Regions from separate parts of the Mus musculus genome. Here regions 1, 2, 3, 4 and 5 are each reported to be linked to region 6. The links are microRNA targets in miRTarBase. Many come from high-throughput screens and were not tested one by one. Region 6 holds a microRNA gene; each other region holds the end of a gene's coding sequence.

Region 1 (5,074 bases), not on the chromosome of region 6:
TATTGGGATTGGCAGCAAACATCTTTTACCCAGAAACCCATTTACCAGGTCCCCTTATGGTTTGAGGTGTCTGTGTGTGTACACACGTGTGTGTGCATTCCATGTGTATAAGTACTCCCCTCCCCTCATGCCCCAGATACCAGAAAAGAGTGTTGGATCCCCTAGAATGCCTGCTGGGAACTGAACATGGGTCCTCTGGAAGAACAGCAGATGCTCTTAAGCACAGTGCCATCTCCAGCCCTGCTCTGGTTTTTTAAATGCTTATTTCCTATACTGGAATGAAAGCCTTGTCAATCTCATCTAGGCCTCTGTTAGTAACAATTCATCTTAGTATTCACTTCATGTAAATCTCAACACTCAAACATACAACAGGAGTTGGGCAAAAGGGATATTATGTCTCCCTTTCTTATATTTTGTTAATGCATGTTGATGCTTTTTTAGTTTATTGTCAAATCCTTTATCTCTAATAGTTAATTGGTTTTTTTGTTTGTTTTTTTATATATTTGGTTAAACAGGAAAACTGTGGTATGTCTGTTTGTAATGGTAAAATCTATATCCTGGGTGGAAGACGGGAAAATGGAGAAGCCACAGATACTATTCTCTGTTACGATCCTGCGACAAGTATCATCACAGGAGTGGCTGCAATGCCCAGGCCAGTGTCCTACCACGGCTGTGTAACTATTCATAGATACAATGAGAAGTGCTTTAAGCTCTAACTAAACCCAGGATACCTCACACAAGAAGCCAACGTCAATCCAAGAGGAAAGTTTTTAAAACGACCACGTGAGAACTCAACTCCTTTGCATAAAGAAATAAATAATCCTGATGCCTTTCTGACCCAAAATTCCAATATTTCAAGCAGTCATAAATCCTTTCCTGTACTGGGGGTGGGAGGTTGGTTGAGTGAGACCAGTGCTCACCTTTACCCCAGCACTCAGAAGGCAGACTTCTATACGTTTGAACCCAGCCTGGTCTACATAACAAGTTCTAGGCCAGCAAAGGTTACACAATAAGGCCTTGTCTTTTGAAAAAAAAAAGTCATAATTTGGCCTATGAATATACTTTGGCATTTTTGAAATACTATGTGGGGTAGGCAGTACTGCCCAGTGTAAACTTCATAGGGATTTGTGAACCATTTTTCAGGAGTGTGTCCTGTTTTTGTCAATTATGTAGAGAGTATTGCATGAATGAAGCTTTTTTTTTTTTTTTTTTTGGTTGAATTGCCTGATGTTAAGAATGTTTAGAATTCATTGTGAGAGGAAGAAATGAGTTTGTTTTGTTCATTCGTTCACTTTAACAATTTATTTAACTTTGTGTACATTGGTAGAAGGGGATCAGATCCCTTGGAACTGGAGTTACAGACAGTTGTGAACTGCCATGTGGGTGCTGAGAACTGAACCCCGGTCCTTTGGAAGAACAGACAGTGCTCTTAACCACTGAGCCATCTCTCAAGCCCCAAGAAATGACTTTATCCATACTGGTTAATTCTATTGAAGGCTTTTTGGGGTTTTGTTTGGTGTTTTTTCTAATTGTAAAAGTGTAGTGACAATTCAGCTACCATAAAATACCAAATTTTATGACTTTATAGACTATTCTCTGATATTAAATACTTTTTGTGAGTTGATGTAGGAGATGTAAAAGTAAGGAGATTTAAATTATACATTAGTCCCTAAGGAAAAATTAAAATTACTATTGAAGAAAAAAAAAATGTGATCCACTTTGGTTCTCAGGGTATTTAATGACTCATCTGTGCGTCCACTAAAGAATTTCTTTCCTTTAAACTAACATAGGAGTTGAAATCCCTTTTACAGAGCAAGGCAGGTGTCTGTGTTCAGGATCTGTTTCCCAGGCATGGTAGTGCAGACCTGTATCCAGGATCTGGGAAGTGCATCAAAAGAAACCAGATGGGCTGAAGAGATGGCTCAGTGTTTACGAACACTTCCTGCACTTGCAGAGAACCTAGGTTTGGTTCCCACCCTTATCAGGTAGCTCACAATTTCTGCAATTCTAGTTCCAGGGAATCGAACACCTTCTGTCCTCCCTGGGCATCTACAAATATATGGTGCACATAAATTCATACAGGAACACGTGTATAAAAGAAATATATCTTAAGACAAAATTGCATTTGCAATACTGCTGTAAGAAAAACAAGAACAGGTTTGCTCCTACCCAGCCTGACAGAGTTGGACCTAACTTGTGTGATGCCTTGTGAGTGCCTCTCCGCTGCCTTGTGAGCAGTTATTAGCCTAGGAGAGTTGTCTAATTCCTTAATATCCTACAGCAGTGGGGCCTCTCACTTGTAACTCTGACCAGCAGCAGTTCCGGTCTCCAGAGAGAAATCTCTTATTTGGGAGAGCTCTTTTATTTGTATAAAATACTGATCATCATTTTCAGATTTCTATTAAATTTTTCCCTCTAGGTTTTTTACCTCCATTTTGTAAAGCTTAGCAGTTTGCAAAGGGAAATGTGAAATTTTTCTTAGACACATAAGTGAATACAGCAGGAATTAGCACAACTAATTATTGTAACTTCCAGTGCCCTGGGCTGCAGCAGGTGACTTGCTGTGTAACTTCCCAGTCTCTCACTATAATATACTCCTTGTCAATGACAATGGTGTCAATCGATTTCTGTTCAAATTCAGGCAGTTATCAGAAACCTAGCATTGGCAAACAACTTTTTCCTCATCTTAGGATAATACAAATGTATTTTAAGAGTCATGCTTAGTTGGAATCTAAATTCTGAGAAAAATGCTAAAAAATACACTTAGGAAATGGTTTTCAAGTCATAAATTATAAGTGATATAGCTATAGAAACAATGCAGAAAATCATCTGTCAGGTGAGCAACAGATGTATGTAAAACTGAGGGTATGTGTACTGTAATTTTATAGTAAGTATCTGCATTATGCTTTTGTTAGAGAATGGAAATTGTTTAGTTCAGAAATTCTTAACAGTTAAGTGTGTGAACAAAAGTGTTTTATAAATGCTTAGGATTCTACAAATGATAATTGTTATTCTCATGTATATTTGTAAGATCATGTCCATTCATAAATATATATAAAAGACTTGGTCAAAGTAAATTTGTATTTTAGTATTTTTGTCTGTTGTAAAAGTATTATCTACTTGTATCTTATAATGTTTATCTTTCATATATTCTCATGTTTATTGCAGTAAATTGGAAAAAATCCTGAAAATCAGAATTTGTTCAAACAAATTAATTTTTATGTTACAAATTATATTAAAAGTTACCAGAAAGTACCTGAATCCTAGAAAATTAACTTTTAAAAGCTACCCAATTGGTATTTTAACTTCCTTTAATTACTTACCTTTGCTAATCCTTGATAAATAATAGTGGTAAGCCCTGGTTTAAAAAATAATAATTTTGCCGGGCAGTGGTGGCACACGCCTTTAATACCAGCACTTGAGGGGCAGAGGCAGGCAAATTTCTGAGTTCCAGGACAGCCAGGGCTACACAGAGAAACTATGTCCTGAAAAAAATAATTAATTTTAGGGTATAATAAATGTATTAAAAGGGCTATATCAACCATCCTAGAGTCAGACTATCTTCATTCTGTTATCCCATAATTGGCAGACTTTCTTTTGATAGGTGATGTTTATATGAGCCTCTAAGTTAGGATGTGTGTGTGTTTATATGTAGATAGTATGATGTGTACATATATCACAAACACCCAATGGTTTTTGCAGTTTAATTATCAGAAATTTGTATAAATTAAAAAATTAGTTGATCATAGACAATTTGATTACATAAGACTAAATTTGAACATTTCTAGAGTACTCTTTATTGTTGAGACAGGATCTCTGTAGCCTGTGCTAGCCTCAAACTCTTAGCAATTCTTTGCCTTCTGAGAGCTGCAGTTAGAAGAGGAAGCCAGGACCATTTTCTAAAATAAGCATTTCATCTGAAAGTGCAGATCTGGTCTTAAGGATCTGTGCACCTGTGTAACTACAGCGTTACAAGGCCAGGAAGCAGACCTGGAGATCTGTGTAACGACAGTGTTACAAGGTCAGAAAGCAGACCTGGAGATCTGTGTAACGACAGTGTTACAAGGCCAGGAAGCAGACCTGGAGATCTGTGTAACGACAGTGTTACAAGGCCAGGAAGCAGACCTGGAGATCTGTGTAACGACAGTGTTACAAGGCCAGGAAGCAGACCTGGAGAGAAGCGTGCAAACACCGCTTGTGGCTGTTCAGTTGGAAAGGTCATATGTTTTGTGAATCAACAGGAAATTACAGTTGGTTTTTGTGTACATTTTCATGAACTTGAATCCTCCTCCAAGTCTTCTCCATGTACTCCACAAGGTGGCCTGACTTCCTCCCTGTCTGCTGTACTCTCCCACACTGACTGACTGACAGGAATTGGGTTCTCCACAGCCGTTTGTCATAGATGGGCGGTTGGGATCCAGGTGTTTACTCCATTGGAATCAGGTTTTAAACGACCAAATGCTCAGGGAGGGCATTGGCTTGTCTGAGTCACCCATCGGGTGTGCAAAGCACTCTCACCATTTAGTTGATGGCTCTAGACGGATATGTTTCAGAAATTTCACTTCTAGCAGTGGTTAAACATCCATTCTGCTTGGAAAGATGACAGTGCTTGGTGAGCCGGCACACTCTCCTGGTGAATATGAATTGTTTCTGCATCTGCTGTCAGACCCCCATTTTGAAACTCAGGAAAGACAAAGGTGGGTTTTCTGCTTTTGTCATTGTCCAACCCAGGTGTGTGCTGCTTTTTCCTGATCTGACAGTAGATTTTTAAAAATCACTCTGAGAGCCCATGCACATACACGAAGAGAGAACGGGAGTTGGATTATTTGTGTGTGCCTTTAACGTCTTGAGAGGATACATCCTACAGACTTCATGTGGTACCAAGATAATGTCCGGAAGCTTCCTGTGGACTGCCTCATAGTCAACCCAAGACATTACTAGTTAAAACGATTTGGTCTTGCTGGAGTTAGTGGTACAGAGCTGAGTGTGGTGGCAATGTCTGATTCCAGTCCTTGGGAGATGTGACAAGAAGATCAGGAAAGTTCCAGGACAGCCATGGCAACAGAGCCAGTTT
Region 2 (5,074 bases), not on the chromosome of region 6:
AAAATTGGGCACGGTGGCACATATGTGTGATCATAGCCCTCGAGGGATGGAGGCAGAAGGGACTGGAGTCCACGGCTAGTCTGACACCATATCTCTAGTCTGACACCATATCTCAAAAAGAGCTAAAGATAAATAGAAGTAACTGCATCTTAGTGTTATAAGGAGCTAGGTTTGTTGTTGTTGTTTTGTTTTAAATCTGAGCACCTAGCATGTAACAGACATTGAGTATATCCCTAACATTCTTTCAAAGAAGGGGAAATGGCCAGAAAACATAGAAATATGCAACACCGTTTAGGAGGGAGATGCCGTCAACCACAGTTCGATTCCACCTCTCCTCCACTGGGGTGATGGTTTTCATAAGATCAGGCAATAACAAGTGTTGAAGAATATGGAGAAATTGGAGTCGTCCTAAGTTGCTGGTGAGGCTATCTCACAAAGTTCAATATGTTATCATCGCTGTCGCTCCTAGGTATAGACCCAAGAGAACAGAACGAATACCCACAGCAGCAAAGATGCAGAAGCCCAGGTGTCCATGAGTGGGTGAACACATGAAATGTGCGGACGGGCAAGTCCCCTTGGACAGAAAGAGGTTGGTGGTTGCTTAGGACATGGGCATGAGGTAGGAAGTGGGCATGGAGCTGCAGGGTTTCTTTGAGATGATGAACATGTGCTAAAACCAACTGTGTTTGCACCACAGATATCAGGGTTATCGTTGTGAACTGTGTGTGGGTGAATGGCATGAAATTAGAATTATACTTTATCGACACTAGCTTTTCAGATGTTAGGAGAGCAGGGTGGCAGGCAGTGTCTGTTTCCACATCGTTCCTCTCGCTCTTTGCCTGCTTGGACTCTCAGAACAGAGTGAACAGACTAAACAGTGGAAGCGTGTTTTCTCAGTTCTGGAAGAACGAGTCCAAAGTCCGGAGAGAGTTGAGCTTCATGTCACTGGCTTGCGGAGCACAGCGTCCTCGTGGGCTTTCCTTACTGTGCACACAGAGAAAGAGCCAACTTTGTGCCTCTTATGAGGACGCCAGGCCTACTGGATCAGGGGCCTGCCCTTGTGACCTCATTAACCCTTAATTACTTCCTTAGAGACCTTCTTTCCAAACACAGCTGCCCTGGGTCTGTGTATAAACACAGCAGCTGGGGTGTGTAAACATTCAGACACAGATACGGAAGTTATGCTCCTGGTTGGCTCTCTCAGTGACTGACCATCCTCCCTGGTGCTCCCAGGCTGCTTAACAGTGCCTTGATCACCTATTCCAGCCTTGATGCAACTGAAGCCAGCCGTGGTTCTCTCTCTGTACCTGGAGAGTCATCTCCAAACTTTCCAGGATGCCCCTTAGGCAAAACCCAGGAATTACTCAAGATGAAGACTAAACCGAGAGGGGTCAGAAGGAGAACACCATCAAGTTTGCAGAGATATACAAAGTAGCCAGTGTATACAAGCAGAGAGGCAACCTCTTGCAGCACTCACTATTCAGAAGCCACACCAGGCACAGACCAGAGAAAGTAGTCCAGTGACTGTTGCATAGCACTGAGTCGTTGGTCCAGAGGCCCACGTTCCAACTGGTGAGCCCAGTACAGCAAACAGCAAGATACAGAAAGCTGTGGGCTGCCTGTGCAGCCTTTGAGCATTCATGACAGACCTGACACATGGTGTTCCTGCTGTCCATTTTGGAGCCCTGAGGGTGGACACCCCTGCCTGCTCTGGACCCACAAAGAAGGCATGACAGATACAACACAGAGCAAGGCACAACCTGAGGTTAAAGTATGGGGCAATCCCTTGGTGGTGGGTGGGTAATCCCATCTCAAAATTAATTTTTCAACTGATTAAAAACATAATTGTTTTTTTTGTTTTTGTTTGTTTGTTTGCTTTGGAGACTAACCCTGTAACCCTGGCTGGCTTAGAACTCACTAAGACCAGGCCACTTAAACTCACAGAGACCTGCCTGCCTCTGTCTCCTAAGTGCTAGGATTAAAGGCAGCCCCCACAGGTCCTTAATTTTAAATTAAACCCCAAGGCGGGGTTCAGAAAGTAAGCTGGACGGACAAATGTACAGAGGCTCGTGGAAGGCCAGTGAGGACTCGTTTCTGGGACAATGGATATGTAAACTCTGTGAGGGGTTCGTTTGTTCACTTTTGTTTGCTCTTGGTTTTGAGAACTGGCATCTGTTACAGTGCCAAGGCTGGCCTCAAACTCATGATCTCCCTGCCTCTGCGTCCCTGTCACAGAGATTGCAGGCATGCGCCACTGACTGCCTGGTTTCTGTGATGCTGGTGCTGATGCTGATGCTGATGCTGATGCTGGTGCTGATGAATCTCAGGTCTGTATGACTCATTTCAAACATCCCCTGTGACTCTGCTAAAATTACAGTTATGACTAAGACACTTTGAAATTTAGCACCCAGTCAGATATCACCGACGTTATTTCAAACCACCAAGACCATCAGACATGAATGATCCCATCTAAGGCGCACGTTTTAAGATCAGAAGACGCCCACCGTCACTGGGAGCATTGGGTGGCACTTCCTTCCTTAGGTGTGTTTGGTGGGATGCTGGGGATTGAGTGAAGCTTCTGGCTTGCTGAAGGTTGTTGGGTAATTTCTCACAATGACGTTATTAATAATGCATTGAAATCAAGTAATGATCACAGTGTCCAAGAACTAGCAAACCTTCAGAAGCCTGGATGTTTATTGCCATATACTGGAATATTAGGCAGCCGCTTGGGGGCGATGTGTGGAATTTTCGCAAGGAACAACGTTGTGGTAGATAAAGAAAATAGGCTATTAAATTATAGGGAACAAAACTGAATCTATTAAACTCCATAGGACAAGTGTCATCGGAACCAATTAGAGGTAGAATTGGGGTGACTTTAACTTTCTATTATGTAGGAATACCTTTTAATAAACAAAAGACCCTTTAGATGACAACAGCTATTTTACACTGGTTTGAGTAACTATTCGAAAGGCTAAGAAGCCATCGAATTATCTTGACCTGATTCTGTCCTGCAGTGATTCCTTGGTGGGGTGAATTTCACCCCAAGGCACAGGGAAACTCTCTGGGGGGGGGGAGCATCTGCCCCCAAGGTGAGAGATGAAACAGTCTGGTTGCTATGGAGCCGCTTGCTTTTCTAGTTCCTATGTGCTGAGTTGGCTCAGCTCTGAGGTTGTCAGTTGGTAGAACAGTTGCCCTTGGGTTTTCTTAGCCTGGTTATGATAAGTTGAGTCTTGGAGGTAGGAGTGACTGGCAGGAGGGAGCTACAGTAGTTATTGGAAAATGGATACAAATGAGACGATCGAGATGGCTCCGCAGCTTAAGAGCATTGATCTTCCTAATGGCCTGGATTAGATTCCCAGCAGCCACATGGGCACTAACAACCAACTTTTACTCCAGTTTCATGAGATCCAACACCCTCTTCTGGCTTCTCAAATACGGCACACAGATGCACTGGCATACATGCAAGCAAAACCTCCATACACATAAGGTTTTTTTAAAAAATAAAAAATGTATTAGCAGGCTCATATGCTTAGAAGAACATTGGCCAGGTGGTGGTGGCACACATCTTTGATGCCATCACTCAGGAAGCAGAGAGAGGCATATAGGCATAGGTGGGGGGAGGTGGGGAGAAAGAAAGAAAATCCTGAAACTGGGAGAATGGGGAGGGAAGGATATGAGAGTAGTAGGGGAAGGGTGAGAATGTGATAAAATAGTACCGTGTGAAAAATACAAAATACAAAAAATAAAAATAACTAAAAGCACCTACATCAGAAGGCTATGACCGTTTTTAAAGCCAAGTAGAAATTTAATTTGGACTAGGTATGAACTAATAGAGTGAGTGCATTCTTCCGTGATTTGCAATAATTTGTCCTTTTTCACAAGTCTCGTCATTGGTAAGTAGTCACCTTGTGGATTATGTTATTATTTTATTGCTTTTCTTTTCATTTTGTTTGTTTTGCTAGACAGGGTTTCTCTGTGTAGCCCTGGCTGTCCTGGAACTCCCTCTGTAGGCCAGACTGGCTGCATGCCTCTGCCACCCAAGTGCTGGGGTTGAAGGCATGTGCCATTATGGCCCAGCTTTGTTCTTCATTTGTTAAAGTGAATTTTAGTTTTCAGTGGGTTAGGGTATAGCTCGTTGGTAGCCACTTGCCTATAGTTTAGGCCCTGGGTTTAATTTTAAGTGTCCAAAAAAAATTTAAATGAACATCAAAATTCATACTGCATAGATTATTATTACTCAGACGTATGGTGTAGTTTTTGTTTTAGCAATCCCACGTGACTCGTTTAACATCTTCAGGTCTGAAAGAGAATTTTGAAAGAGATTAGTTTATTTACACCCCTTATATTACCGATCAATTAATGTTCAGTTAAATAAATTCAATTGAAATTTCCAATAAAATTCCATAATTACCAGGAATTGTTAAACATTTATATAGAGGCAAAATCCAGTACAGAGAGATTCTTAAATGATGGATTTTGCTTTCTTCATTCAGGTAAGAGTCACAGTGTATCCAGAGCTCCGATTGCATGAACAGCATGCACTTTCAGGCGATGGAGCAGCAGCAGGTCCCCAGGGTCTGGCACTATGACTGACCACTCACTGTCCTCTGGTGGGAAGGGGACAGGACCTTCTAGACAACATTCTGCATTTACTGCATGCAGAAGAGACTGTGCAGATAAAACATGACTCCATCAAATATAAGGGTTTTTAGTAAGGGTATAAGATGTCTCCCCAATAGTTGCCAGATTTTTAATATGAAGCCCCCAGCCAAGAGAGAGCACAAACCGGGGCAAGTATTCTAATTATGTAGGTCTTTAATCTGGAAGATTTTTAACAGTGTTTAAATAAACATTAAAAAAGGTCTAAGCCGGACCCTAATATAGCTGTCTCTTGTGAGACTATGCCGGGGCCTAGCAAACACAGAAGTGGATGCTCACAGTCAGCTATAGGATGGATCACAGGGCCCCCAATGGAGGAGCTAGAGAAAGTACCCAAGGAGCTGGGGGGATCTGCAACCCTATAGGTGGAACAACATTATGAACTAACCAGTACCCCGGAGCTCTTGACTCTAGC
Region 3 (5,074 bases), not on the chromosome of region 6:
GACACGGTGCTTCTGAAACTAGACGCCAACAGAATCTCCCGAGTCCCCAATGGAGCCTTCCAACACCTGCCTCAGCTGAGGGAGCTGGACCTGTCCCATAATGCCATTGAGGCCATTGGGCCAGCAGCCTTCTCAGGTCTGGCTGGGGGCCTGCGGCTGCTGGACTTATCCCACAATCGCATCCGAAGAATTCCAAAGGACGCCCTGGGCAAGTTGAGTGCCAAGATCCGCCTGTCCCACAATCCACTGCACTGTGAGTGTGCCCTGCAGGAGGCCCTGTGGGAACTAAAGCTGGACCCGGACTCCGTGGATGAAATTGCCTGCCACACCTCAGCGCAGGAGCAGTTTGTGGGCAAGCCGCTGATCCAGGTCCTGGACTCAGGTGCCAGCTTCTGCAGTACCCACCGGAAGACCACCGATGTCGCCATGCTGGTCACCATGTTCGGCTGGTTTACCATGGTGATTGCCTACGTAGTGTACTACGTACGCCACAACCAGGAGGATGCCAGACGACACCTGGAGTACCTGAAGTCCCTGCCTAGTGCTCCAGTCTCCAAGGAGCCTCTTAGCCCTGTGCCCTAGCACCCACCTCCGGTGGGCCACTGAGCCTGGCTACCCTGTCTTTCTGCAGCAGGTGGAGGTGATGGTGCTCTTGTGTCCCCAGGGAGGTGCATTGCAGCTGTTCAGCCCAAAAAAGCACTTTCATAGTTGGTATTTGGTCCCTGCAGCCACTGCCTAACACTGTAGCGGGGGGAGGGGGGTTTGCCCATCTTAATGGGTAGGTAAATGGAGGTCGAGAGAAACGGAACTCCTTGCCAAGGCTGGCTTCAGCTGCCACTTAAACCCAGGCTGTTTGTGGTATAGGTCTGTGAGCCGTCTGATCTGCCAACCTCCCTTTCCCACACCATGCTGTGGGAAGTAAATACTTGTGCACGCAAGGATGGGGGCCCTGGCAGGGAGGATGGCGCCAGCAGTTTTGCCACCGGGGAATGGCTCATTTCTGTTTACCCCTGCTCTCCCAGTACATCTGAACACAGAGATGTTTGCCCTTTCCCAGAGCAAAGTACCGGCAATCTAGACCTTTCCAGAGAGGTCAGTGCAAAGTCCAGCCTGCACTGGTCTGCTCTGACCTTTGTCCTGGGAGTTCTTTAGTTGCCCTTGTGCCAAAATGTCAGTCCATCGAGAGGGAGAAAATGGAGAAACGTGAGAAAGGTCCAGCATGGGCTCACCATGGCCGTGTCAGCTGCTAGACCACTTATGGGCTGCCTCAGCTTCTGCCACTTCTATCCATTCCTGGGCAGTGGAAACCTGTCAACCTCGGTGGCTCTTGTGCCTTGCTTTCTACTGCCAATATCTAAAGCAGCTGTTTTTTCAGAAAGAGGAGGGACTGAAGTTTGAGGTTGCCATGCCAGTCAACAGGAACTGCTTTTCTCTAGCAACAAGAACCTTCTCTTCACCTCGCTGAAATCCCAGAGCTCACTGATCAACTTTCTTACCTGTAATTACTTCATCTTCAGGGGTAGATGTTCTAGCCACCTAACTAGACTTGACTTCCAGTTTTGTTATTTACTGTCCTTTTGTATAAGTGTTTATACCCTAAGCTATGTCGTCATCGAGTATCTGGGAGAAGTAAATGAGCATAGTGTGTGTGTCTGTGTGTGTGTGTGTGTGTGTGTGTGTGTGTGTGTGTGCTGAGTATAGGGTCTAGATGCCGCTCTGAGCAGAAATTGAATGTGGCTTCTGTGTGTGCTGGGAATTTTCTTGTGATCTGCAGGGGCAAGGTGAGACTATGTTGGGGGCCTGGCCTGACTTGGTCCTTACCGTCAGTGTGACCCACAGTTCTGTCACCATGTGACACACTTGCCTGAGGCTACATGGCTGTCAGCTGCAAAAGTATATGGAAGAGAAAAACACTCATGAATTCCAGACTTTCCCCACTGCTGAATGCCCACACCTACATGGTGACCGTGGGGCCACCATGCCTGGCATCTGCAGGGTGAACAGAGCCCTGGATGAGCTCCCAAGCTGTCCACTATTCTTCCACAGCCCTGGGCCAAGCTACACTGTCTTCAGGGTCAGACCCTGGCGGAGCTAGTAGGACCATTCCCATTCCCATGAGAATTGGAACCTCGAAGCAGCCTCCTTAGGGACACCAGTCAACGTTGTGATGCTGCCTGGCCCCCATTGGCACAGACATGCTCAATACCCAGTACCCAGTTAAGTGTTCAGAGGAGGCAGGTGCTGAGGGCTGTATGATTTGGACCCTGGAGGGTGCTGTGCCAAGGAAAAGAGGTTAAAAAGCCAGAGCTGAGCCAGGCAGTGGTGGCGCACGCCTTTAATCCCAGCACTTGAGAGGCAGAGGCAGGCAGATTTCTGAGTTCAAGGCCAGCCTGGTCTACAGAGTGAGTTCCAGAACAGCCAGGGCTACACAGAGAAACCCTGTCTCGAAAAAACCAAACCAAACCAAACAAACAAACAAAAAAAAGCCAGAGCTGAGGGCTTGGATTAAGGACCAGGTACCACCCTGGTGCTGTGGCAGTGCTGAAGTAGCTATCTATGTATGTCCCATGGACAGGGACACCTCTAGCCTGACACATACTCTGGGAGGTGCCAGTGCAGAGGGTATGGCTTGCATTCCTATTACCATGTGGTGGGGACGGTAGCTGCTTCCAGGCAGGGGCACAAGTTGGGAGGTAGCTGGCCCCTGCGGCCTTTCTACCATCCTACTCAGTAGAGGGACCCTGTTTCTGGAGCTTGCCACTATCCAGCATGTCTGTCCCATCGACAAAACCAGGTCAAAAAAGAACATGGGTGGAGGCCTGGTGGTGAAGTCTGTAGCTGCTCTTGTCCCAGAAACACCCTATTGGGTCTTTTAGATACACCGGTGTAGGTAGGGCTCCGTCCCAGGCTGCTCAACCCACTGCCAGGCTTGCTGCTCTTAACCTAGGGCTTAGCCCTACCTGGTTGCACATCTATACAGCTCCTGCTCAGCCCTTGCTGGAAAGAGGAGATGGGAGACTCAGGAGAGTATGGACCCTGGAGAGAGCATGCCCTGTCCTCCTATAAGGAGGACCTCAGAGACCTCAGCACTCTCCTGCTCATCCAAGCTTCCAACCCTGCTGCCTCAGAGTCTTATCTCCCTGTCGTCCCATTCCATGTCATTCATTCATGTATATAGATACCCTTCCCTTCCTTCCCATGACCAACTCACAGGCTAAGTGTATGAGGCTGGAGCCTCTGCTGGAGACTTGCAGATGTGGATGGTTGCATTGAAACTGTCTTTCTCCCTGGATCCCACCTGCTTCCACCAGCTTCACCTTCCTTCTCTCCTTGAATGAGATATTCTCCTCCCCCAACTCTGCACAGACCCTCTAGATCTCCAGGACTCTGGGTCAGTCCTCCCCTACTCTGCGCATCTCCACCCCCACCCCACCCCGACTTGAGTGTTCCTCAGGCACAGTGGGCGGGGTTTTTTTTTGTTGTTTTTATTTTTGCCACATGGCTCAGTGTCCTGCCCCATCCTCACCCCCATCAGTATAAACCTATCATCCCAGGTCCCACCCACTGGCTCCTTTGGGCACTTTCCCTCCCACTAGTTACATGTGATTGCCTAAGACACGGTTTAAATTGAAATCCTTGGGTGGGGTTAGAGGTTGAGGGGTGGTAAGTCACAGACTGAGATGGAATGTTCTGAGCCTGTGGCAGCTCTCAGGACTAGGACTAGGCTCCTAGGATGGCTTCTATGTTGCCTTTCTTGGAAGCTCAGCCCCGAACCTGATTCTGTCCTCTCCCAGCCTCTCTGTGAGCCCTCAATAAAACTTTTTGTGCAGGAAAGCTGATTGGGATTCTGTCATCTTCAATTCTAGCCGACACCCATCCCTCACGACCGTGTCAACATCTGTCTGCAGGTCCTCACAGCTGGGAGGGCATCTTCAACTAGCTAGACAACTGATTGTCATAGTTAGATCATAATGGCCGTCATTAAGTTTTCAGGAATTCTGGGAGCCAGCTTGTACCATGGTGCCTTGAATCTGACCACGTAGAGGCTCGACGCCAAGGAAATTGGTAAACATCACATGTCAGAATCCCACCCTCATAATCCTTGGAAGCAGTTATTATTTGACAGCACTCTGTGTGAGAACAGTTCAGCGTGGCCTCCAGGCTGAGCCAGCAGCACCCGGATAGCCACAGTGCGGGTGGCTCCCACAAAGCCATGATCCTTAGGCCACACTGTCATGCCAAAGATAACTTTTCTGAATCTTCAGGATTTGATTTCTCAAGGGCCATGGCCCTTGGGATTCACCATCTATGGATGCTTATTGTCTCCTGACAGCTTTGTATCCCTGCTCTGAGGTCACGGCTGCCCGCCTGTCTGCCTCACCAACTTTTCCAACTGCTGTTTCCAGATGCCCTATCTGGAGACTTTGTGTCCCCACAGATGGTCTGGTACCCACCTACCAGCCTGGGTTATCCCTTCCTACTTTCTATCCTGCCTTGTTCTCTGGGTTCTGGGCTGGACAATGGATGCAATCTCTTTCCCTCTGTAGAATGCTTTTCTGCCATGGAGCACTCTCACACCCAAGTCAGTTTTCAGTTAATGTGGCTGGAAGACCCAAAGAGTGTTCACATCACCCGTCAGCCTGTCTCCCTTCCCTGCAAACTGGCTTGTCCCTTCTAGGAAACCTTCAGTGTAGCCAGAGTGGAGTCCAGGAGCTTCCACAATCTGCAAGTGCACACACACACACACACACGTATACACACATACATAAATACATGCATATGCATTTCCACTACATGTAAGCCAGACAGACACAGAGATATTGTTACACTCATGTGAGTGTACACAGGCTCACATGCAGATTTAGAGGCATGCACTACATTTCTGCACACATGCACCTGTCATTGCATCCATCCCTCACTCCTGGCCCACTGTGTCTGTGGTCTTTGGAGGGAGTGTTAATCTGCACCTCGCCCCTCCCCCCAGGCCTCTAGAGGCAGTTGCCTGCTTAAGGGTCTCTTCTGTAGCAGCATCTATTTGACTTTTCCAGAATCCAGAGGTGGCGGCTGCTTTCCT
Region 4 (5,074 bases), not on the chromosome of region 6:
CAGGAAAGGTTGGAGCGAGTCCGAGCAGAGTGAGGAGTTTGGAGGAGGGATAGCGACGATGGAAAGGAAACAAACGGAAAATGCCAGACCCTCTGGGGAGAAAGAGAATGTGGGAAAATCACGCTGGCAGGGCGAGGAAGTGCCGAGGAGCAAGGACCGTAGTTCTTTTGAGCTGGAGAGTGAGAATTTTATGGAAAATGGAGCAAACATAGCTGAAGATGACAACCATGTCCACGCACAGCAGTCCCCGTTAGAACCCGAGGCTCCGGGTTGGTCTGGCTTTGTAGACACCACGGCTGCTAAAGAATTCACTACCCAGAATCAAAAATCCCAAGATGTCGGGTTCTGGGAGGGAGAAGTGGTCCGAGAGCTGTCTGTGGAGGAACAGATAAAGAGAAACCGGTACTATGATGAGGACGAGGATGAAGAATGACCGGCCGCCATGGTTCTGGCCTTAGATTTTGGTTAGCAACTCACTGCCCTTTATCAAGTGGTGCGCAGAAACAGGCAGCTTGGCGCCAAGGGTCATTCATGTGGGAGCAACTTTGGAAATGAATTCCCGCTAGCAAAACAGGGCAAAAACAAGCAAAAACAAAACAGACAAACAAACTCACCCAAAACCAATTCTAAGCGCATTGTCAAAACACCAGTGATCTTTTAAGCCTGGTGTGGTGGTAAACACCTTTAATCCCAGCACTCCACTCGGGAGGCAGAGGCAGAGGCAGGTGGGTCTCTCTGAGTTCCAGGACAGCCAGGGCTACAAAGAGAAACCTTGCCTCAAAACAAACAAACAAACAAATCCCTCCATTTTTTCAGGGAAGGGCTAAGTAGGGATTTCTCTCACTGATGCTGCCTGCCATCCACTGCATTCCCCAAATCAAGATTGGTGTGGTTAGATATTTAGAGGCTTGTTTTCACACTACAGAGACCATTGTGGAATTAGAGACACACACAACACATTTAGGAGCCCACCTCATGACCAGAGGCACTTTAGTATAAAGGGCACAGTGTAGCTATTTTACCAATTTCATTTTTTAGTACTCAATTGCTGAAAATCAAATATTTAGTCTTTCAAGCTTTTGAAATGCATTCTCTTCCTCTGGTAGATAGGGAAAGCTTACTGTCTTTCATCCTACATCCTGTATTTTTAATCACTGAGGCACAAAACAGCAACCTTTGGCCAAGTGAAAGGCGCTGGTTACTGAAGCCGGAGCAGCAGTGTTCAATCCCCAAAACCTACGTAAAGGTGAGAGAGCAGACTGCACAGAGCTGTCCACACGTGCCCATCATCAACAATAAGAAACAAGTTAAAAAAAAAAATACAACCAACCTCACAAACACCTGCGAGACAGAGAACCAACCTATATACTTTGGTGTTTGGAGAGACGGACATTGTACCCAGATAATCAGTGGCGAATGCCAGTGTGTCTCCCTGCACTCTGGGTGTTTGCCATCTCTTCTGGTGGTTTCTCGCACTTTGCGGAAAGCTGCAGTGTTGCTGTAAGACCTTTTGGATCACGCTTCACCATGCTCCAAGTAAAACAACCTGAGATCAGAGCTGGGAAGCCTCAGGTCGAGGCGAATCTTGGCTCTGAAATGTATTGATTTTTAGGCCAGATAATTCTTCCAGGGTTGCATTAAATCACTTTTAGGTCTGTCTTCTTAGGCCGTGTCCTACTTTGATTCATTGTAGTGATAAAACACTGGGCAGGAGCAACTCAGAGGGGAAGGGTTTGTCTCCACTCACAGGCCACGGGTCACACACAGGCCACGCGCGCACGCAGCATGGTCAAGGGAAGCGAGGCCAGAACCCAGAGGCAAGAGCTGATGCAGACCGTGTGGGAACACTGCTTGCTGACTTCATCTCTGTGGCTTACTCAACTGGTTTTCTTACACCACCCAGGGCCACCTGGCCAGGGGTGACACTGCTCACAACAAAAACAGACAAGGCCCACAGGTGCATCGGTTAGAGGCGGTTCATCAGCTGAGTCCCACATCCAGGTGACTCTGTGTGAGGCTGGTAAACCCAGAGGAGGATAGATGGTTTTCTCTGGTATTAAGGCTTTAGAATATTATAAACGAGTGCAGTTCTTGTATGTAACTGATATTCCAAATGATGTGTATGGCGGGGTGGGCTTAAGGTAGTGGCCTCTTTGCATTTGTAGAGATTTAGCTCAGTTTTAGAGATGTAAAATAATCTGTTTCCTTATGGCCTTGTTTAGCCTAAAACATTTTTATTCAATAAAGCTTTTAATTTACATTTCCAGTGTCCACACTGCTCTTATTCCCGTCTCCTCCACACTGCTCTTATTCCCGTCTCTTTACACAGGGTCTCTCGGAACCTGCTTCTATTGAGCAGCTTTTAGGGGGAAAATGCTGTGAGTTCATTTGACCACTAGATGGCAATGTAGAACCGAATTGTGCACTTTTCATCTACCCTAAAGACTTTTTTGGGAGTTGGGGGGCTGCAAGTAATTTGGCAAGAAAATTAGTGTGTGCATTCAAAATGAACTGTTTGTTTTACCAATTCAAATTCCAGTGGCGGATTTTACTGTTTACCGCATTCCGCATTTACTAATTTACCTTATGATTGTGTCTGACACAAAACAGGATTTTCAGCCATCTCTGCTGAAGACGCACGCTCTTCGCTCTGGGTGTGAGCGCGTTTGGTTGATTTCTTCTATAGAATCAACTTCTCCAAGTGTTTCCTGCTGCCATTGATTCGTGGTTTCAATAATAGCCTGAAAACCAAAGGTGGTGGTGGTCCATGCGTGTAATTCCAGGACTCAGGAGGCCTCTGAGACAGGAGGATTACTGAATTGGAAGCCAGCCTAAACCACAGAGTGTGAGTCCCAATCTCAAACAGATCAAGAGGCTGGAGAGTTGGCTCTGAATTTTAGAGTGAGTGCTGTTCTTCTGAAGGACTCAGGTTTGGTTCCTAGCACCCTCGTGGTGGCTCACAAGAATCTGAACTCCAGCTCTACAGAGTTTGACACCCTGTACTGACATCCACAGATATACACTTAAATAAGGATTAAAAAACAAGCCAGAAGCCGGGCGTGGTAGCGCACGCCTTTAATCACAGCACTCGGGAGGCAGAGGCAGGCGGATTTCTGAGTTCGAGGCCAGCCTGGTCTACAAAGTGAGTTCCAGGACAGCCAGGGCTACACAGAGAAACCCTGTCTCAAAAAACAAAAAACAAAAAAAACAAAAAAAACAAAAAACAACAACAAAAAAATGATTAAAAAATAAGTTGGAGTGGTGGCACGCCTGTAAACCCACCCTGTGGGAGGCTGAGGCCAGCGTGGGGCCGGAAGTGTGGGGCCAGCCTGTACTACAAGAGAGACCCTGCCTAAAAAGACCATCTTAGAAATTTTATTTAGTTTCCTATGATTGGATTTCTTCGGAGAGATGTGTGCTTTGGGGCAATCTATTTATTAGGTCACCCAGCATCTTCTCTCTAGTTTTCCACCTCACCTCACCCTAAGACAGGGTTTCCTCTCTGTGTAGCCCTGGACGTCCTAGAACTCGCTCTACAGACCAGGCTGGCCTTGAACTCACAGAGATCTGCCTGCCTCTGCCTCCTGAGTGCTGGGATTAATGGTGTGAGCCACAATGCCCAACTCTTAAACTCTCCTATCAGCCCAGGGTTATAATTCCGAAGTCTCACCTCTGCCCTCCACAGCTTCTCACCCTCGGTCAGTTTCAGCTTCTCTGTCATCTCTCGTCTTCTCTGCCTCTGTTCTTGACTTCCTGCAGTCTGCTGTTGATCAGGGCTTTGTATATCCCACTCAAGAGCTGTTTTCTCCCAATACGCTACTATGTGACTTCAGGTATACAGGCACACGACGTAGGTGTACAAACAAAACATGTACCGATAGTAAATTATGAGGCAACTCGTTTTTGTAGAAATGTTGATTTTTATGGTGAATGGGTATTTTGCCTGTATGTGTGTCTGTGCACCGTATGCGTGCCTGGTTACCATGGTGGCCGGCAGCATCGTTGCTCACCTGCAACTGGAATCACAGATGCTTGTGGTTTTCTGTGTGGATGCTGGGAATTGAACTTGGTTCCTCTGGGGGAGCAGCCAGTGCTCCACTGAACGATTTCCCCAGCCCAAAATATTTAAAACAGCTCTCTGGTATACAGAGAGTAAATTTGTATATTAATCAGATGGGTTTTATTTTTATAGAGAGAATCAAAACTTGAATATTTGCACATTAAATTTTTTTTTAGATTTATTTATGTGTACAAATGTTTTGCCTATATGCATATGTGTGTACCACATGAGTACCTCATGTCCCAGAGGTCAGAAGAGGGCATCTGAGTCTCTGGAACTGGAGTTATGGGTGTTTGTGAGTCACTGTGTAGGTTCCAGGAACCAAACCTGGTTCCTCAGCAACAGCAAGTACTCTTACCTGCCAAGCCAAGCTATCTCCCCACAGTCTCTGCATATTAGATCTTAATCTTTGGTACTCTAGAATGTAGAGCATTTTTGAAAAATATTTATTTATTGAGATGAGGTTATCTCACAATGTAAGCCACAGCTGGTGTAGAATTTATTATGTAAACCAGGCTGACCTTGAAATCAGAGACATCCACCTACCTCCATTTCCTGAGTGCTAGGATGGCATGATGACTGCTCGGCTGACCGTCAAAGAAGGGAGGCTTGGCTATTGGCTCTTGGTTAAGTCAAGGCAGCTAGGCACGAGTGGAGGGTCTGGCAGCTGTCAGTTGAAGCTGGTCCTTAGGACTTCGGCTTATTTGAAGTAAATATTAAAGAGTATTTACAAAAGGGCCTATTATTAAAGCTGTTTAGCAACGTTTAATTCCTAGCTCTTAGGAAAAGGTGGATTCCTCAGCTTCTCTCACTTTATCACCTATTTCAATAGGAATGATTCCAGTAAACATGTTAAGAATTGCTACATGCACATTTGGGGGGAATTTTGAATAGCATCTTAGACCAAATTCATTGTATACTGGTTCCCATATGCTCAGCTGACATGTTCTTCGTGCTCAGATTTAAAACCTCATGGGCCCAGAATAGCTGTTCATATACGTGTGTGTGTGTGTG
Region 5 (5,074 bases), not on the chromosome of region 6:
AATTTATCTCTTTTACCTCTCCTTTTCTGTTATTACATCATTTGTTTTAAAGGCCTATGACTGTCTAGTTATTGCTTATAAGGTTGATTACTCAACAGGTTTGCAGTTAAGCAGTAACCATGAGGCTAACAGCATACAGCTTGCTGTAAGGACCTTTAGTGTTTGTCCACTGTCGGAGGCATTGCTTCCTCCTTCCTGGACCCGATAAGCAGACCATTGTACTGCTGGCCTTCCGGTGGATGCGTCTTTCCATATGGCCTGTATGACAGAAGAGTTGTCACATTTTCCATGTTATAACAGTCACTAGGATAATCGAACAATTGGTGTTACAAATGAATAGAAATAGCTGGTCATCACTCAGCTCTGCCTCTGAACACGTATGTTCTCAATTGGCACCATCATGTTACAGTATGCCACAGTCGGTGGGCACAACGCTGCATTTAACTAATTTATCCTCACCTGGAGTTGAATAATGTATAGACAAAATCACATACTAGAGAGGGAAGCTAACACAGGTCAGTAGATGTCACTGTTATCTGTTTCCTCTTCCCTTGGCCTTTGGATGGGGTTTCCAATACCTAGTGTTTTTAAATTAGCATTGTCGTTTGAGCAGTTTGGAGGAGTGACTGAAGTCAAACATGAAAACTTAGTTTATTGAGGTGGGACCTAATTACCAGTAGAGCGGATGGAGAAGGAGTAAGAACGTCTTACACTTCAGCTCCAACAGCCAGCTGTTTTGTAGTAGTTATTAATACAAGGTCAGTATCCCTATCTGAGCTGCTCTACACCAGGAAGGTTTCACTGCCAGATACTGAAATGTTTGCACACTCTACTAGTTGAGCATCCCTGACCTACAAATCCGAAATCCTCCAAATTCAAGAAACTTTGGAGTCCTTCAGATTTCCACATTAGTGATATTCCCACCTGTGCTTTACCCAAAGAGAAAAAGATCCAGGACCATCCTCTCACAAGAAATATAGTAGCTGTTTGTTTCTTCATTCCTCACTAGTCACAAAAAAAAAAAAACAAAACAAAAACAAAACAGGTTTTTCTTGTTGTTTTTCCTTTTCTGTGCTGAGAGCAAGAATTTGGAATGAGAAAGCCTGGGTTTAAGCCTAAGTGTCTTTACTCTGTGGATCTGTGGGGCTGAGCAGATAACATTGTCTGAGCATTTGTTTGACTTAGTTTCTCAGTCTGTAGAGTAGACACCATAAATTCTTCCTTCTGCCTTCCTCCATGTGGCTGTGAAGATTGGGCTATGTGACCACTTGTGACAATCTGGAATGCCAGGGTTGTCGCTTACCACGGGCTCTGAGATAGCAAAGGAAAAACTGTGTGTGTGAGCAGACCAAAACTAAGTGCCATCCCAGATGAGAATGCAGCTGCAGTGATCTGTCTAAAATTAAAAATGTTCTTGAGGTGACAGAAACAGCAGGGGTGCCCGGTTGTAAATGTTTATGCTTTGAACTGTCCTCACAATAGTCACATGACTAAGCACACTTAAAGTTGAGGCACAGGGTTAGTTGTCAAAGTGCATTGAGTTTAAATATGGATTTAAACCCAGGCCTATATCCCCAATCCCTTTACCCGTCCCAGCCATTGACAATGTACTGTACATCTGTAAGAATTTCCAGAAGACTTTCCAAACTGTCTCTGTAATTGTTTTCATACAGTAGTTGTGAAGAGTAATTTTAAGAAACTTCTAAGAATGGATTTTTCCATTTCTGCTAAGTCTGCTTGACCAGTATGTACAAGGTGGAACTCGTGTGTGTCACTAGGCAGCCCACGGTGGTTTTACCATGGGAGGTGAGAACTAACTGAAATGACTGCTGGTTTGCTGTACTTCTGTAATCAGACTTTACAAGCCATGACATTAATTGCACTCTGTTTTTGTCAAAGCCCTGTGCTGTTTAAAGAGAGACTGTAAAGGCGCTGTCACGGTGCGGAGTTGAGTAACCACTCCACTGTTTAACCTGCATAACTTTTTGTCATTGTCTTAAAGCCAAGCTGTGTTTGCATATATGAAAGTAATTGTTTCTTAGAAACATGTGACAATTTTCAAAGTAGTGTATAATGACACTGTTTAGTACATTTTATATTTTTTGTTACATCCCACTTTTTGTAAATATTCTCAAAACTTGATAATAAAATGTATTTCTCTATCACCATACTTTCCTATGTGAAAACCTTAGACCATCTCTAGTATAAGGATCTCAAGAGAGTTGTATTTGGTTATAATATTTTCCCCGGGCCTGAGTAACAGGAGTTTTTTTGTAAATATAGCCAATGCTACATGAGCACATATATATTTATATATCCTCTGTGAAAGACAACCCTTTAAAGTCATTTCAGGTGTATACTGCATTTGAGATAATTATCTAGAGGGTTCATTTATTGGAATACAATACAAAGAATAATGATAATTAAATATTTGAGCGACTATCCTAGGTATTACTAAAAGACTTAGAAAAATCAAAGGTCTCATGAAAAATCAAATTTCTAGAATTTGAGACTAGAAAGCACTACTAGACTCTTCCCTCTTAATTATAAAAAGTGAAACCAATTCTGTATGTGGGAGGAGCCAACTGTCAGTATTTACTTCTTTCAAATGTTCTAGCCTGGTCCTTGTGGGGGGGAGAGGGACATGAAACGGTGGCTTTAGAGATAGAAAAGAAGAACAGAGCGATGAGGAATGGTCTAAGGCTGGGAGCATAAGCCTGGGGAATGGGCTCAGAAGATAAAGTCCCTGCTGCATAAACAGAAGAGCTCCGGCTGGAGAGATGGCTCAGCGGTTAAGAGCACTGACTGCTCTTCCGAAGGTTCAATTCCCAGCAACCACATGGTGGCTCACAACCATCCATAACGAGATCTGGTGCCCTCTTCCGGAGTGTCTGAAGACAGCTACAGTGTACTTACATATAATAAATAAATCTTAAAAACAAAGACAGAAACAAAAAACAAACCAGAAGAGCTTCAGATTGGCTCCCCAGCGCCCATGGGGTTACATGCCTGTAACCCAGTGTGACATTGCTACAGAAGGGGCAGGGATGCAATCTTTGGTCAAATTAAGGAACTTTGAGTTCAGAGATGCTGTCTCAAAAACAAAGTTGGACAGCAATGGAGAAAAAAAAAATACCCGCTATAAACCTTCACGTGTAAATGCAATGCCCTAAATTTAGTCACAGGGTACGTATAAAAACTGTAGGTGCTGTGGCTGAAGTGTGCATACAGCATAGCACACCAATTAAATATGGCGTCATTCCTTCTTTTCTTACAGACCAAGACACAGAATGTTAATGCCATTCTCAGCTAAGCAGAAGCAGCAACAGAGAAATAAGTGATGGGGGCTGGAGAGATGGCTCAGTGGTTAACAGCACCGACTGCTCTTCCAGAGGTCCTGAGTTCAAATCCCATGGCTAATCCCATGTCCACCTAAGCCCCTCATAGGACTTGCTGCTGCTAACCACGTCCCCAGATGCCCATTCACCGCATTAATAGGAAAGTTCTACAGACAACTTAATTCACAGCTAAAATTGTGTATTTATCTGAGAATGAGCTCAGCTTAGGAAGTTGCTCCTCCTGGAGAGTTAACATTACTCTTAATTTTTATTTCAGTAAAAGTCAGATTTGGTACAGGTTTTTCTAACTATGACTTTTATTTCTTACGTCTTTAATATTTGTGTTACCACTCTTTACGTTCATCCATAGAGGCATTGGAATCCTTCCGAATCCTGCTTCCAGAGTGGAGAGCTGCCGACTCCTTCCCAGTTACTCCTCCTTCACTTGTGCACAGAACAGGAAACTAAGTCTATACTGACGTACTCAGTTAATTCTTTCCTTTAGCAAAAACAGGATCTTAACTCTAGAAACGCACATCTGACTTCTTCCATTTACTAACCCTAAGAGAGCCTTCTACCAGAATACACTGACTGCTTTTGCCCTTTAAAAATACCCAGATCTGTTGACTTGAAATAGCCATTTACCTTATCTCCAGTTTCTAACAAACCAATCAGTGCTCATATGTGTTTTTAAAAATCAAATAGAAATACAGTAAGTTGATAAGGAGACAATTTCACAATAAATCACTTTACTGGGTTGAAAACAATTATACCAAGAGTTAGTTATAACCTTTGACATTCTACCATTTTGATTGTATTTATATAAACAGGCTATTTTTTGTTTGTTTTTGGTTTTTTTGGTTTTTTTGTTTGTTTTTTCGAGACAGGGTTTCTCTGTATAGCCCTGGCTGTCCTGGAACTCACTCTGTAGACCAGGCTGGCCTCGAACTCAGAAATCCGCCTGCCTCTGCCTCCCGAGTGCTAGGATTAAAGGCATGCGCCACCACTGCCCAGCATAAACAGGCTATTTTTATTGACTGAAAAGAGATACTAGTTTGAAAACTTATGTTACTTCAATATGCAAAGTGAATTTTGTTTATTTTGATTTTTAAGGCCCACTGAGGAATAAAAGTTCAAGCTGAAGTATCACTGCCAAACAAGTTCATCAAACCCAGCTACAGAGGAGGAGGGGGTTTTTGACTGGCAGGCATTCCTTTCTTGACTCCCCCCATGAAGTCTCTGATGAGGTAGCAAGGCAAAGAAGTGAAATCTTTCTCCCATCTTCTGAGGATTCATTAACATATCATACCCTCCAAGTAGCTGCTGCTTCGCAGATGGCTCACCTGCTTTATCCAAGAGAACCTGAGCGGAAAGAAAGGCCTTTAAGGAACATCACCAGAAGAAAAGCATTCCCCAGCACAGGACTAATGATGTAAATGATGCAGTACAGCAATTCCCCAGATGGGATCACAGTGTCCTCTAACTGTAGGATGCTGTGATCCAAATGTATACATCTGCATCGTTAGCAGATATCCCAGGCGATCTGCTCCGTAACAACAGAGGAGTCATGATTTCATACCCATGAACGTGGTTTTCTTGGGCGTATCAGCCTCACATAGAAACTTGGCAAGCTGTGCACACCCCAGTCCTTACTTGTGCAAAATTACACCTGAAGCCTGCTCGCTATAAGAGCATTAACGCCAGTGTAGCTCAATTTAAATAATTTCCGAAATTAA
Region 6 (5,074 bases):
CAGGTAACACACACAGAAACATTCATACTGATTAACGCCTCGGAGCAGGGTAATAGTGCATCTTTAAACTGACCCACAAGAGTACACGATGGGGAAAACAAAGCACTCTTGCAGTCTGTAATAAGGTTACGTGCACACAGGAACATCGAGATCTTTGAGGAGGGGGGCACAGGATAGCGAGAGGAGACTAGCTAGCTCTTCTATCTACCTGGAAGCGGCCCGCCTTGAGTGAGGGACCTGCACAGGGCAACCGGATTGCAGTCCCTGGAGGGAAAAGAGGGTGGTGAGTCGAGTTAATTTTAGCTCAGAAGCGGTCCCTTCCTGGGCAGATTTCCTCGCTGAGGCTGAGGCTGAGGCTGAGACTTCAACTCCTAATAGTAACAAGGGCTGTTCCTGAGGTGCAGAATTACCAAATAACGCTGCAACCCACACTTTGTCTTGACAACCCAAGTTTAAAGCAAAGCTGCTGCTAGTAGTCTCATGTCCCACCCCTAGGCTTCCTCTTCATTCAAGGGGTAGATATGCCAGTTCCCTTTCCCAAGCCTCGCCCCTCTCAGCCCCACAAGTTGTGGTGTTTACAAATTCTGCCTCATTTGCAAAGGAAATTGCCAGGAGAGGAAGGGGGCAATAAGGCACCTGCAACACGTGGAGCCGTGGCAGTGGGGTTTCCGAGAGTCATAAAGTGGGGGGGGGGGCACTCCGTGTCCTTATGTCCCTCCAGCCCTCTGCCCTTGCGGTTTTCACTGCCTGGCACAATGCACAAGTTTACCCCCCCCCCCCCAACTGGATCCTATTAAATAATTCAATGGTAGCGGTGCAATTTTGGTTGGAACCAGCACGGATTCCCAAGTCGTGACTGCAAAAAGTGAGTAATGCGCGCTGGCTGCGTCATGGCTCTAGTCACACTTCATTCCGAACTGAGAAGGAATCGTGACTTCGCCTGGAGACGTCCCCTACATGGAGTTGGGGGGGTGCAAACCAGGGGTGAACGGGGGTGGGGGGAAGACCTATCCAATGAAAACCTCTGCCAGGGGGTGTTGCATTTGAACTCCACTGCGCGCAGTGCTGCTGTCCCCTCTCTGCCCGTTGCACACCCGCCCCTCTCCGGGCCAGCGCTCTCTGCCGCGCTGGCTTGCCTCTCCGGCTCCCCAACGAGTCCTCAACAAGTTGGAGGGAGGCAGGAGCGCACGGGTTAAACTCGGGAAGCTGCAATTATCAAGATCGTGACCCTCCCACACAGTACAGTAACTTATATACTTACCTGGAAGAGCCCGCTTTGCCGCTGGGCAAACACCCATGGGGGTTGGGGAGGGGCAGGAGGGGAGCGGGCTGGCCAGAGAGGGCTGCTTCCAGACCGCTGCAGAGCACACCGAACCAATGCACTCCCAAGACCCCCGGACTCAGGTAAGGAGAAAGAATTTGCAGCGCTGGCCGCCTGGTGGTCGGTAGGCTCAACGGTCGGCCGAGCAGAACTTTTTTCCCCAATTGCCCTGCGCTAGAGGCAAGCGCAGACTGTGTAGCCCCCTCTGGCGCGGCGTTGAGACGCGGGGAGGGTGTGTGCTTGCGTCTTTCCGTAACCGAGCCAAGCGGAGGGGATGCAGTAGGAGGGTGGGTGGGTCACAGAGCTGTAGGAGGGTGATGAATGGGCGGAGTGGGTGGGCCGACAGGAACTTGGGAGACTAAGGCTCCAGGTCCAGAAATGCATTCTGTGGGTATGATAAGCCAAGGGTGTGTGTGTGTGTGTGTGTGTGTGTGTGTGTACGCGCGCGCGCGTACCTGCCTGCAGGTCCATTCTGGGATGGCAAAAAAAAAAAAAAAAAAAAAAAAAAAAAGTGAAAAAGCCAAAACAAAACCCAACTTTTGCCCCCAAGTTCTTGTGATGCTTGTAGTAACCACCCTGACTTAAGTTTTTTTTTTTTTTCACCCCCTACTGGAAGGGAGATAGGCGTTTGTTTAATCACACCCTTTGGCATCCCTGGGGCTAGGCAAGAGGGCACTGGGACTTGGGTGGGCCTGCACATAAAGAAGAGGGCATCCCCCTTAAGTTAGGCTAGATGGAATGGGGGAGGGACTTAAAGGGCAGGGAGGAGGGGGGAGAGGAGAGACTTTGCCCCCTCCTTCCTCTCTAGCTCTCTATTCCCCTCCCTCCTGCAGATGCTGGAATCTCCTGTCACTGTGACAGTCAATGCCCAGCTCACCCTTTCTTGTTCCCTCAATATTTTGCAGAAGGGGGGGGCAACAAGGAAGGGCACCTGAGGCAAATGGGCCATTAGACACCATGATCTGGACAGGTTGGGGGCTCTGGGGGAGGGAGAAACTTCACCCTTCTTAGTGAACATTCAGAACTTTGGGGGGGCAGAGTGGGGTAGGGGGACTCGAAAAGGTCTAATTTTCTAGAAATAGGCCAACTAGAGTGGGATTTGAGCTTGTTTTATGTTCATCTTTGCCAGTCATTTTCCGTCTGGTTCTTCTGGCTTAGGTCCCGATGGAAGAGGTCGCTCTCTTGAATCCCTCTTTCCCAATATACACTGCCACCCCCTCACCTGGGCTAGAATGGGAGGGAGTCATGGACAGCTTTTGGAACAACAATATTTTAATGTGTTCTAGTCTAGGTTTTGTTGAATAATTAGAAATGGAAATATTTTTCTCCCTCCCCCTTCTGGAAAAAAAAAAAAAAAAGAAATGTGAGCTCTCTTCTGATTGGTGGGTGACGATTTTAGTCCACACCAATGAGCTGGCGGCCTTGTCTGTATTTATTTAGTGCTCTGGGGGAGTTTTTCTCTTTACGCAGCGCCTGTAGTCACGGCTGGAACCTCTGCTGGGGGACTAGGGAGGATAGGAGGGGATTCGGGGGAAATCTGGATCGTACCTGCTCAGAGATCCACGACCTTGCAGTCAGGGCTGTCAGAACCCTGATGGGGGAATTGGGTGATAGACTAGATAGGATCGGAGGCTTGGAGTGCTAGGGCGAGAGGGGTGGAGGCAGGGCTCTGGGATCCGGGGTCCCCCTTCGAGCTACCCTTATCGCTCTCCACTACCTCTTCGAGGTTGTGCAAGGCTGAGTCGGGGGATCTGGAGATAGAGAGAGGGATGGGTTTGGGGACGCGAGGAGGGGAGAGCGGCGCGCAGGGTGGGGAGGATGAGCCGCGGTGGAGCGCGCCGGGGAGATCCAGTCTCCTCGGCTTCGGGGTTCGGAGACATGCTGGGCTAAAGGCGGCGGCGACGGCGGCGGCGGTGGCGGCGGACCGAAGAAGCGGGTAGACTGCCTTTCGCGAATCTTTTTGCGGTCTGGGCTTGCTGTACATAACTCAATAGCCGGAAGCCCTTACCCCAAAAAGCATTCGCGGAGGGCGCGCTCGGCGACGTGACTGCAGCTACCAGCGACCGCCGAAGCCAGCACCTTCCCGAAGCGGCTCCATCCGAGACTTCCCCAGTTTTTCTCCCCGTTTTCCACGGAAGAATCAGCTCTTTCCTCCCCGTCCTTTCCGCGCTCCGCGAGGCTTTGATCACTCGCTTTCCCGAGACATGTCCCCCGCCCCCAACTTTTTAGTCGACTTTGTACCACAGGGGGAATTGGAGCGGGTGGCGTGCGTGTGTTTTCGAAGAAGTGAGAAGAAGCTAAAATGTAATAAAAGTTTACAGAAGTTGTGTCGTTCCCCCACACCCCACACCCCAAATATCCCCACTCACAATAAGGGGGGGGGGCATGGCCATAGGGCCAAGTCAGTACCTAGAATATGAATCAGTTTAGGAAATTTTACGGTCATTTTTTTTTTGACCCTAAGGATTGGAATCTAATATGGGGGAGGGGAAGCCCTTGAGGGAGGGGCGGTAGGCCCTAACCATCCTCGGTTAGGATGAGCGGAATCTAGAGGAGGTGAGATGAATCTCCGTGAATCCGGTAGCTCCGAAAAAGAGGGAAAAACACCCAGGCACCGCCCGCTCCCCGGAGCCTTCTTCCTGAACCTGCTTCCAACCTAATTTCAGGCGTGTTGCAGGCTCCAGTACCCACCCATCTCCTCTTTTTCAAAACTAAGTAGCGCAGGAGAGGATGAAACAGGCGGAAACTAGGGAAAACCCCGCGGGGAAGGAGCTTCTGCGAGCTGCAGTTGTTTAGCAGTGGCAGAGGCAGCAGCCCCATGCTGGCCACTCGAGGCTCCTAGACCTGGGAAGGGAGGCAAGCTGCAAAGGGGAGAGCCCGTGGGTCCCCCTCCTCCCCCTCCACTCCTTGCAGTCGTGACCACTTCGGTTACAAGTGGCACAAATCAGGCCTTCAACACGTTTTGTGCCCCGTGCCCTTCGCTAGCTAAGAACACTGCTAGACACCCTTGCCCTTAGGGACTGGGCCAGAAGGACACACAGACACACGCAAATGTCTATGGGGGTGAAAAGCAGTTAGAGGATGTATCTAGGGATGTGATAGCCCAACACCCCGGGGCTGCAAAGCTTCCCATTTTCGGGGAGGGCCTGAATTTCCCCCCGCATCCCAACCTTTCTGCTTTCAACAAACTCTCTGACTCATTTTGGGGGTCCCATAGTTAACCACCTAAGCTCTACTCTCTCTACCCCCTCCTGAAAGAAAAGAAAGGCTAGCAGATGCTGAGAATGCTGGACAGAGGCAGCCGGTGCTAGCTCAGTACGTAAGAAGGCACAGAATGCGAGAACTCCAGACTCCACAGCTAAATCAGGGTCCTTCTCCCCTGATAAAGGATATTTTTTTCCTCCGAATGTATTTTCTGAAAGAGTAAAAGGGTCTCAAAGATTTGAACATGCTATGGAGAGGGAGCAAAAGCTGTGGGGGGATTTTCTTCCTGCCTCTCACCTGGGGCCGTCTGTGGAGCGATAGCTCTGCAGAGGGAGAGGCAGAAAAGCCACGTTAGATTAAAAATAGCTTCGCACTGTGTCCCTTCACCTACTCTTCTGTCTTTTTCTTACTGTATCCCACCTCCTTTCCCTAGTCAGGAAGCCCTTCCCTCTCCAAAAGCCCGACCATTCACCAGATTTGAGATCGAGGTGACCTTAGAGACGATAACTCGAATAACCTGAACACAGGCTCCTTGGGGTTCCTGAGCCC

The links. Region 6 holds the annotated microRNA mmu-miR-129-2-3p (AAGCCCUUACCCCAAAAAGCAU, at 3,320-3,341, shown strand). A microRNA usually pairs through its seed, bases 2 to 8, with sites in the 3' UTR of a target mRNA and lowers its output. Matches are read on the target gene's strand: a 7mer-m8 pairs with bases 2 to 8, a 7mer-A1 pairs with bases 2 to 7 and ends in A, and an 8mer does both.
Region 1: miRTarBase lists Klhl24 as a target of mmu-miR-129-2-3p. Seed matches in the 3' UTR shown: 7mer-A1 at 3,462-3,468 and 8mer at 3,528-3,535.
Region 2: the mRNA of Hsbp1l1 is a reported target of mmu-miR-129-2-3p. Seed matches in the 3' UTR shown: 7mer-A1 at 3,979-3,985.
Region 3: the mRNA of Lrrc3 is a reported target of mmu-miR-129-2-3p. Seed matches in the 3' UTR shown: 7mer-A1 at 2,421-2,427.
Region 4: the mRNA of Lima1 is a reported target of mmu-miR-129-2-3p. Seed matches in the 3' UTR shown: 7mer-A1 at 754-760 and 8mer at 819-826.
Region 5: miRTarBase lists Ndufaf7 as a target of mmu-miR-129-2-3p. Seed matches in the 3' UTR shown: 7mer-A1 at 4,238-4,244.

The regions. Positions count from the first base shown.
Region 1 is chr16:20,122,391-20,127,464 of GRCm38, forward strand. It overlaps Klhl24 (kelch-like 24), which reads left to right. Exons shown (of 8, transcript NM_029436.3): 8 at 516-5,074. The coding sequence ends at 716. Among named protein-coding and RNA genes, the nearest start is that of Yeats2, 16 kb to the right of the region's middle.
Region 2 is chr18:80,226,263-80,231,336 of GRCm38, forward strand. Hsbp1l1 (heat shock factor binding protein 1-like 1) reads right to left here. Exons shown (of 5, transcript NM_001136181.1): 5 at 3,489-4,299. The coding sequence ends at 4,294. Among named protein-coding and RNA genes, the nearest start is that of Hsbp1l1, 18 kb to the right of the region's middle.
Region 3 is chr10:77,896,335-77,901,408 of GRCm38, reverse strand. It overlaps Lrrc3 (leucine rich repeat containing 3), which reads left to right. Exons shown (of 2, transcript NM_145152.4): 2 at 1-3,834. The coding sequence ends at 582. Among named protein-coding and RNA genes, the nearest start is that of Lrrc3, 3.7 kb to the left of the region's middle.
Region 4 is chr15:99,775,656-99,780,729 of GRCm38, reverse strand. It overlaps Lima1 (LIM domain and actin binding 1), which reads left to right. Exons shown (of 11, transcript NM_001113545.1): 11 at 1-2,262. The coding sequence ends at 433. Among named protein-coding and RNA genes, the nearest start is that of Cers5, 5.7 kb to the right of the region's middle.
Region 5 is chr17:78,946,501-78,951,574 of GRCm38, reverse strand. Ndufaf7 (NADH:ubiquinone oxidoreductase complex assembly factor 7) reads right to left here. Exons shown (of 10, transcript NM_028611.3): 10 at 3,523-4,700. The coding sequence ends at 4,485. It overlaps Prkd3 (protein kinase D3), which reads left to right. Exons shown (of 19, transcript NM_001171004.1): 19 at 1-2,170. Among named protein-coding and RNA genes, the nearest start is that of Ndufaf7, 12 kb to the right of the region's middle.
Region 6 is chr2:94,239,643-94,244,716 of GRCm38, reverse strand. Mir129-2 (microRNA 129-2) reads left to right here and starts at 3,264; the gene lies at 3,264-3,353. It overlaps Mir670hg (a long non-coding RNA gene), which reads left to right. Exons shown (of 8, transcript XR_003953878.1): 3 at 1-1,404. Mir129b (microRNA 129b) reads right to left here and starts at 3,339; the gene lies at 3,275-3,339.